Linked DNA regions of Rattus norvegicus. The protein of the gene in region 2 purifies or fractionates together with the protein of the main gene of each other region. This does not show direct contact. Links are inferred from orthologs where the notes say so. Each region holds a gene or a part of one and is shown on either strand. Other genes may lie near its edges.

Region 1 (4,637 bases), on a different chromosome or scaffold from region 2:
TCCATCCTGCAGGGAAGACAGAGCAGCCAGAGTGGCTCCATGCCCAGTGGTGAGGGCTCGTGTCCAGTGGTGAGGGCTGGTGCTCAGTGGTGAGGGCTGGTGATTGATGGAGGGCTTGTGTCAGTGGTGAGGGCTTGTGTCAGTGGTGAGGGTTTGTGTCCAGTGGTGAGGGCTTGTGCTCAGTGGTGAGGGCTTGTGTCAGTGGTGAGGGTTTGTGTCCAGTGGTGAGGGCTTGTGCTCAGTGGTGAGGGCTTGTGTCAGTGGTGAGGGTTTGTGTCCAGTGGTGAGGGCTTGTGTCCAGTGGTGAGGGCTGGTGCTCAGTGGTGAGGGCTGGTGCTTGATGGAGGGCTTGTGTCAGTGGTGAGGGTTTGTGTCCAGTGGTGAGGGCTTGTGTCCAGTGGTGAGGGCTGGTGCTCAGTGGTGAGGGCTTGTGTCCAGTGGTGAGGGCTGGTGCTCAGGTAAGGGCTTATGCCCGGTGGTGAGGGCCTGTATACATCTTTTTAGCTCAAGAAGCAAAGCTCAGATAGATAAAGTAGGCTTGGAGTTCAAACCCTCCAACACCCATTTTATGCCACAATCCACCCTTGTCAGTCATGTTTCCCACCCCAAAGGTTCCACAACCTCCTCAAACAGCACCGCTCTCAGGAGAGTGTGGCTAAGGGGCAATGTGGTCATTTCTGATTCTAGCTTCAGTGGTTAATTAATTCAGTGGTTATTAATTTAAAATTCAAATTCTTGTTTCAAAGTGCAAATGCATTTTAAAGGCAGGTCTTGTGTCTTTAAAGCAGACTTTAATTTACTAATTTCAAATATAATTCCATTTTACTGAACAGGACTTAGATTTTGTTACTCACATGTGTGAATGCACATGCGTGTGACGGGAGATCATACAAAACCCTCAGGCCCGAGGCCGGAGAGATGGCGCCGTGGTTAAGAGCACTTCCCGCTCTTCCAGGGGACTGGAGCTCCCAGCATGTGCAATGGGTGGCTCACAGCAGCTGCTGATGATCCAACACTGACTTCTGGTCTCTGAAATCACCATGAATGCACGTGGCAGATATATACACAGACAGCAGATATACAGACACACAAGACCCCACAGCACACAAGACCCCACAGCCTTGGTATTTAAATGTGTGCCTTTCGGATTTTATAGGTGGCCCCTGAAGAAGATGAGAGAAAAAGGAGGCGGCGGGAAAGAAACAAAATTGCTGCTGCCAAGTGTCGAAACAAGAAAAAAGAGAAGACAGAGTGCCTGCAGAAGGTGAGTCCCGCCTGGCCCAACCTCCCCTGAGGGGAGGGAAATGCCAGCTGTAGGCAGAGGGTAGAGCAAAGCTATTAGCAAGGTGGAAGCAGGGGGGGAGGGGGGTGTTGGGGATTTAGCTCAGTGGTAGAGCGCTTGCCTAGCAAGCACAAGGCCCTGAGTTCGGTCCCCAGCTCCGAAGGAAAAAAAAAAAAGCATGGTGGAAGCGATTCTGGAGATGTATATGTGTACACATACATACACACACATGTATAGGCATATGTGTATATATATATCCATTTATATATACATACACATACACACACACACACACACACACACACACACACACACACGGCCAGCAAGCTGGCTCATGAGTAAAGGTCCTTGCAATGCATATGTGGCACCCTAGTTTGACACCCAGAACCCGCTGTGGAAGGAGAGAACTGGTTTCTAAACGTGACCTCTGACCTCCACATGCATGCTGTGGCACAAATCCCCAGCAGTTTCTAGACTTGCGGGTCACACCAGCCTATTTAAAGAGACTTTACTCATCAGTTTTAACAAATACAAACTGCAAAGCCCTGCCACTGCCTTTGGCTCTCAGGAAAAGCTTGCATTAATCTCTTCAAGTTACGGTGCTGAAGTGGTGCTTACAGTGCTCCTCCCTGGATCTGAACCCTCCTCTCTACTCCATGCTTATCCAGCACTGAGCACCCTGGGAGGCTGACACCCCACACCAAGCACCAGGGGTACAGCATGGGTTCACAGGCAAGGCAAGCTACAGAGCCTGGAAGTCTTTGCAGGGGCCATGTCTGCTCTCCCAAGTGTGTGCAGGGCAGCTTCTCAAAGAGATGTAAAAGCCTGGGTTGTCTGCTCGCTACTTCAGGGTCAGTGAAAAAAAACTTGGGCAGCTTTGGTGTTTCTGAGAATACGTCTGTGGACATGGGAGTCTTGGTGAGATCAGAAATTCAAAGACAACTCCACACCACCCGTTTGGGTTCCTCGATAGCTCCCACGATCCTGTGGGGCCCAGATGCCTTCCCCACGGGCAGTGAACTAGAGCAGCTCTCTCTGAGCCCTTGGTGCAGTTCCATCGAGCATGGGCGCCCGGCTCGGTGCTGTCCCTAAGCTTTCTTTCACGTCTCCCAACTTCAGAGCCCTCTACAGGAAACCCTGTACCTTCCACCTTCCACCTAGTTTGGTCCTCCCATCCTTGTGGTAGGACGGTTCTGCTAGCAGGTCTCAGTCTGGGGAGCCCCAAGGATTCCAGGTGGCCCCCCATCTCCCTGCCCCTTGGCTCCCTCCATAATGCTGCTGTCTGTTGATCATCCCTCAGGAGTCAGAGAAACTGGAGAGTGTGAATGCCGAACTGAAGGCCCAGATCGAGGAGCTGAAGAATGAGAAGCAGCATCTGATTTACATGCTCAACCTGCACCGGCCCACGTGTATCGTCCGGGCTCAGAACGGGCGGACGCCGGAAGACGAGAGGAACCTTTTTATCCAACAGATAAAAGAAGGAACATTGCAGAGCTAAGCAGAGGTGGCATGGGGGCAATTGGGGAGTCCTTACTGAATCCTCCTTTTCCACCCCAAACCCTGAAGCCATTGGAAAACTGGCTTCCTGTGCACTTCTAGAATCTCAGCAGCCACGAGCTGTTGGGTCAGGAGGGCCTGCGGTGACTACTGCGTTGTCCCACTCTGTCCCCGAGTGAACCGTGGAGCAGGCAGGAGCATCCTTTGTCTCACCGGCTCCAGGATTTAGGCCTTACCATCCCGGCCATTCTCAGATGACCTAGCTGGCCCCAGGCTGGGGTCCCATGCAAAGCAGGATCGCACTAATGGGATGCAGGCAGAAGTGTCTACCTTGACAGGTGGGGTGGGACCACGTCCTCCACTGCGGCTGACAACATCCCTCCTAGGGAAGATGGAGTGAGAACATTCATCATTGAAGTTGTCCAATGGCCAGGGTATGCTTTCTAGAAACTATGCTGTTCTGTCCTAGACTGACTGTGCATAGGGCATTCATTTCTGAGCCTGGTGTTGTGCTATTTAGATGTTTGTCTTGCACAACATTGGCGTGATTTTTTTCCGGGAGTTTCATCAGACCTGATTTCCGAGAGTTTGGGGGTCTGCCACTGTGGACAATATCCCCCAAAAGTGTTTGGGTGGCCATGTAAACTGGCTGATGACCAGCTGTGCTACTCTGTGCTGACCGAGGACTGATGCCTCCTTCCCCTGTACCCACTGCTGAGGAAGAACCCGGGCACAGCAGCTGTCCTTGGCTACAAACTGTTACAATGTCACAGAACGAAGGCACAAAGTCCCGCTTTCAAAGGGCGTAGGACTCCACACTCAGTGACAGGGCAGGAAGAGCCAAGGATTCTCCGTTTTCCCTTCCTTCCCACCAAAAACCACAGCCCGTGGAGACTGGTATTTGAAGCCAGGAGTGGGGCAAGGAAGGTGTCTGCACTGTGGGATGTTAACTGCGCTTTTGTCTTGAAGCTATTTTGAGATGCGGTCCAGAGTATTTCAGCTGGGAGGTCCCTCCCACTGGCCACCAGGGCTCTGGCTACTGTTAAAATTCTGATGTTTCTGTGAAATCCTCAGTGTTCAATCCGACTCAGTAGTATATTACAGTTTTCTGTAAGAGAGAACGTTACTTATTTATCCCAGTATTCCTAGCCTGTCAACGTAATAAAATATCAGAATGAGACCTGGTAAACCTTAGCGTGGCACTGGTTTCTGCTGAGTGTTGAAATGGTGATGATGCCTTTCTGTCATGGGGTGGTCAGCACTGAGTGTTTGGGGACGGATGGCTTCCTTCGTTCATGGGGAGACCACTAGGTAGGGCAGTTAGTAATTCATATTTTATGTGTATGGGTATTTTGTCTGCATGTATGTCTGTGTGCCACGTGCATGCAGTGCCTGGGGAGGCCAGAAGAGGAGGGCATTGGGTTCCCTGGAACTGGGGTTTCAGAGGGGTTGCAAGCTACCATGTAGTTGCTGGGAACGGAACCCAGATCTTCCCCGAGAGCACCAAGTACTGTTGTTAACTGCTGATCCATCTCACCACCTCCATTTATTTTTATTTATAATCGTGTGTGTGTGTGTGTGTGTGTGTGTGTGTGTGTGTGTGTGTGTGTGTGTGGTGTACATGAATGCAGTTGCCCACAGAGACCAGAAGAGCTCTTAAATACTGAGCCAGCTCTGCAGCCCAGGTGGGTGACTTCCCACTCCGTGCCTCTCATTGACAAACCCCGAAACAACGCTACAGGTGTGTCCTTCAAGCCACCTGTTTGGTGCTAAGATAGATTTTCGTTTGCTTTGAGTCAGGGTCTCAGTATGTAGCCCTAGGTGACCTGGAACAGAGTACACAGGCCAGACCGTTCGC
Region 2 (4,327 bases):
CTCCGCGCCCCGACGGGCCGGGGGCAAAGTCCGACCCAGGCCCTCGGGCAGGCGAGGACCTGCCAGGCTGGGTCCGACCAGGTCGGGCGGGACAGGGCTCAGCCCCAGAGCTGTTCCGAGGGGCTGGGCCAGGCCGCCGGGAGGCGGGGGAGCCCGGGGGTGGCGGTGGAGGCTGGTCTGGACTAGCCGTCCCGGGGCCCTGGCGCGCCCTGGGACCTGGCAAATACCTCGGGTTCCTGGCTCCTAGTTTGCCGCCCCAAGACTGCACTGGTACCACCTCTTCCTGTGCCCTAATATGGATGCTGGGGAGAGAAATTCGGGGGGTTTGCCCCGCCCCCAATCCAATTCACGGACTCCAGCCTGTTGCCTTGGTGACGAGGCCCCGCTCCCAGGCTTCATCCCCCTCCAGCGGGCCAATGGAACAGTCCTCGGCTGCCAGGCCTAGTAATCGCCCAAGGTTGCAAGCTGAACCATTTCTAGATGGGGGGAGAGTAGACTATGACTAGAGGCGTACTCAGCTGGATTGTGACTTCCCCAGGGGTCGCTCGCTGGGGTTCCTCTTCCCAGGCGCAGAATTTGGCAGGCCCAGGCTAGGGTGCACCAACCCTTAGGCTCAGAATGACGAGACAGGGCCGGGCTCTTTCCCCCTCCGGGCTATTGCCACACTTCCTGCCTCGGCTCTTTTTCCCTAGCCTGTTTCTAAGGAAGGGAGTGGGGTTGGGCGACCGCACCCCAGCTATCCCGCCTCTTCGGCCCTCCAAAAGCTGACAGGATATCGGGCGAGCCCAGAGTGACTAAGGGGAGGCTTTGGACTCAGGTACAGGGTATGTCAGTGCCTAGAGACCACTTACGAGGTACAGTCTCATTCTTACAAGCCCCTTGTCTCTGGGATCCTCCAAGTCGTCCTCTCGGGTAGATCTCAGATACCCTCCTGGCATCGCCTTTACAGCTCAGAAGGAAGCCATGTCCTGACCATTTTAACTTTCCATCAGAGTTCTGCAAATAATCACAGTGACCCCAATCTTTGCTAGATATGTTCCCATCTTCTACTCCTATTGCCTCAGCGTTTCCAGGACCCTTGTTCACTTTCTGCATATCTAAATTGACCTCCCCAAAATTACTCCCCTTTTCCACTTATGGGAGAACCCTCAGACTCATCTGTGGGCTTTAGAGCCCCTACTCATTTCTTATACAATAGGTACCTGACCCTGCTTCCTGAACCTTCTCTCCCACCTGTTCTTTAAGCACTTTGCACTCGGGGCCTCTAGTTAATTCCTAGGTCAAATGTTAACAATTGCTCCCGTTTTGTACCTTCCCTGTTTTCTGGGGTCTTCTAGTATATTGTCAGTTCACAAGTCACAGCTATTGTGGGTCCCGCGAGACTATTCCGGGTATATCCTGAGGCACCCCATCTCCACTTGCAGTGTACAGAGATCTCATAGCCACCGGGTTGTACTCCCGCAGTCCTAACTCCTATGTGCCTCGGTCCCTCAACATCCCTTTGCTTGAGTGTCTCTGTCTCTACAGCCCCTCCCCCTGCAGCCGCGCAGAGCCACCGGGCTCGTGGCCGCTGTTTACAAGGACACGCGCTTCCTGACAGTGACGCGAGCCGCCTCCTCCCCTTCCCCACGCTCTAGGAGGGGGCCGCGGGGGCCTGGCTCCCGCGTCGGCCAATCGGAGTGCACTTCCGCAGCTGACAAATTCAGTATAAAAGCTTGGGGCTGGGGCCGAACACTGGGGACCTTGAGGGTGGCCAGGCCAGCTTTGGATCCTGCAGGGAGCGGGGAGCTGAGAGAAGAGACGCTGAGAAAGCGGGCGCACCACGGAGGGAGAGAAAAGCTCCAGAAGCCGGGCAGCGCTTTTACGCACAGCTACCAACTGGCCGCTGCCGACCGTCTCCAGCTCCCGAGGACGCGCGACCGGACGCCGGGTCCCGCCACAGCCGAGGACAGCTCGCCGGTCGCCGCAGCGAGGCCCGGAGCGGCCCTTCAGGGGGACCTTTCCCAGATCGCCCAGGCCGCCCGGATGTGCACGAAAATGGAACAGCCTTTCTATCACGACGACTCATACGCAGCGGCAGGATACGGTCGGAGCCCTGGCAGTCTTTCTCTTCACGACTACAAACTCCTGAAACCCACCTTAGCGCTCAACCTGGCAGATCCTTATCGGGGTCTCAAGGGTCCTGGGGCGCGGGGTCCAGGCCCAGAGGGCAGTGGGGCAGGCAGCTACTTTTCGGGTCAGGGATCAGACACAGGCGCATCTCTGAAGCTAGCCTCCACGGAACTGGAGCGCTTGATCGTCCCCAACAGCAACGGCGTGATCACGACGACGCCCACGCCTCCGGGACAGTACTTTTACCCCCGTGGGGGCGGCAGCGGCGGAGGTACAGGGGGCGGCGTCACCGAGGAGCAGGAGGGCTTTGCGGACGGTTTTGTCAAAGCCCTGGACGACCTGCACAAGATGAACCACGTGACGCCCCCCAACGTGTCTCTGGGCGCCAGCGGGGGTCCCCAGGCCGGGCCTGGGGGCGTCTATGCTGGTCCGGAGCCGCCTCCGGTCTACACCAACCTCAGCAGTTACTCCCCAGCCTCTGCACCCTCTGGAGGTTCCGGGACCGCCGTCGGGACTGGGAGCTCATACCCGACGGCCACCATCAGCTACCTCCCACATGCACCACCCTTTGCGGGCGGCCACCCGGCGCAGCTGGGCTTGAGTCGCGGCGCTTCCGCCTTTAAAGAGGAACCGCAGACCGTACCGGAGGCACGCAGCCGCGACGCCACGCCGCCTGTGTCCCCCATCAACATGGAAGACCAGGAGCGCATCAAAGTGGAGCGAAAGCGGCTGCGGAACAGGCTGGCGGCCACCAAATGCCGGAAGCGGAAGCTGGAGCGCATCGCGCGCCTGGAGGACAAGGTGAAGACACTCAAGGCTGAGAACGCGGGGCTGTCAAGTACTGCCGGCCTCCTACGGGAGCAAGTGGCGCAGCTCAAGCAGAAGGTCATGACCCACGTCAGCAACGGCTGCCAGTTGCTGCTAGGGGTCAAGGGACACGCCTTCTGAGAGCCTCCCTTGCTCCATACGGACACCCCCAGCCTTGAAGGCTGGGCGCCCGCCCCCCACTGGGGTGAGGGGGGCAGGCGATGGGCACTCGCCCAGAGGTCTGGGGCGCAGCTCACACACTGGACTCTGGCCTGCCCGCCTGCGCCCAGTCCTTCCACCTCGAGGTTTACATGGCCCCCTTCCAGCGTATTTTGTATGTTTTTTTTTTCTGGAAAGAGACTGAATTCATATTGAATATAATATATTTGTGTATTTAACAGGGAGGGGAGAAGGGGGTTGTCGCGGCGGAGCTGGCCCCGCCGCCTGGTACTCAGCCTGTGGGGATACTAGGGAGGAACCTCCGCCCCCTGCCCTCCCCCTCTGCACAGTACTGTGGAGAAGAAACACGCACTTCGTGTCTAAAGTCTATTTTAAGATGTGTTTGTGTGTGTGTTTGACTTTTTATTGAATCTATTTAAGTAAAAAAAAAGTCTTTATTAATTTCTGTGGTCTCTTTCTTCCAAGCTGGGCGGATGGAGGGAGAAGATTGGGCTGCCCCAAGCCCGGGGCAGTTTGTAGTTCTCTCCTTTCGGGTATCTTAAGGTCCAGTACAAGCGCTCAAACCTCCCATCCCCTGAGTCCTGGCACCAGACGCTGCGCAGGCAGGCAGTGGCCGAGAACAAGCTATCCAGGCCCAGGACAAAACCCGGAATGTGCAAGCACGGCCCCGCCCAGCCCCGTGCGCCGGGGCTTTCCCCGCTGACGTTACGGAAGCGCTGCCCATATATGGGCCTATTCAGCTCAGTGACGCCAGCGCGGTCTCCGGGCAGATTCCGGGAATCCCCTCCCCCTTCTCTGCCGGGCAGGGCCGCGGCGCCGGGAAGGGGGCCGGGATTTTCCCGGGCAGGCGGCTTTCTGGGCGCGGAAAGCCCCAGGCCGGGGTCCAGGGCGCCCGCGGTGGGAGGGCTGTGCTCTCCGGAGCCCTGGGAGCCACCCGAGCGGCTTTTAACAGGCTGGCGCCTGAGCCCCGCCGCGCCCACGCCCCCTCCATTGGACCGACCCTGGCGGAGAGTAACTGCAGCCTCCCTGTAGTTACAGACGCCGTCAGGGCTGCTCCCGCCAGGAAGGGCGGCGCCCGCCCGCCAGTGTCCCCCTCCCTTGTGCCAGGCCAGAAGTCGGCGACTGCCAGGTCTGGTCCTGTCCGGGCAGTTGTTTGGGCAGCTGGGCGTCGCCACAACTCTTGAGGTGCTGGAGGTTCAAAGCCACTGGTTGCTGGTGGGATCTGGGT

The links. Proteins that work in one complex are often made in the same cells at the same time.
Region 1: the proteins of Junb (region 2) and Atf3 purify together in Homo sapiens (affinity purification with mass spectrometry; 3 studies listed by BioGRID and IntAct, counting the BioPlex papers as one, with this or other methods). This does not show direct contact. The link is inferred for Rattus norvegicus from reciprocal best matches to the Homo sapiens genes JUNB and ATF3.

The regions. Positions count from the first base shown.
Region 1 is NC_086031.1:105,281,768-105,286,404, reverse strand, and holds the end of Atf3 (cyclic AMP-dependent transcription factor ATF-3), read left to right. Parts: intron 1-1,156; coding exon 1,157-1,264; intron 1,265-2,582; coding exon 2,583-2,780; 3' UTR 2,781-3,968; downstream 3,969-4,637.
Region 2 is NC_086037.1:40,079,371-40,083,697, forward strand, and holds Junb (transcription factor JunB), read left to right. Parts: upstream 1-1,755; 5' UTR 1,756-2,025; coding exon 2,026-3,060; 3' UTR 3,061-3,540; downstream 3,541-4,327. UniProt on the Homo sapiens protein: Transcription factor involved in regulating gene activity following the primary growth factor response. Binds to the DNA sequence 5'-TGA[GC]TCA-3'.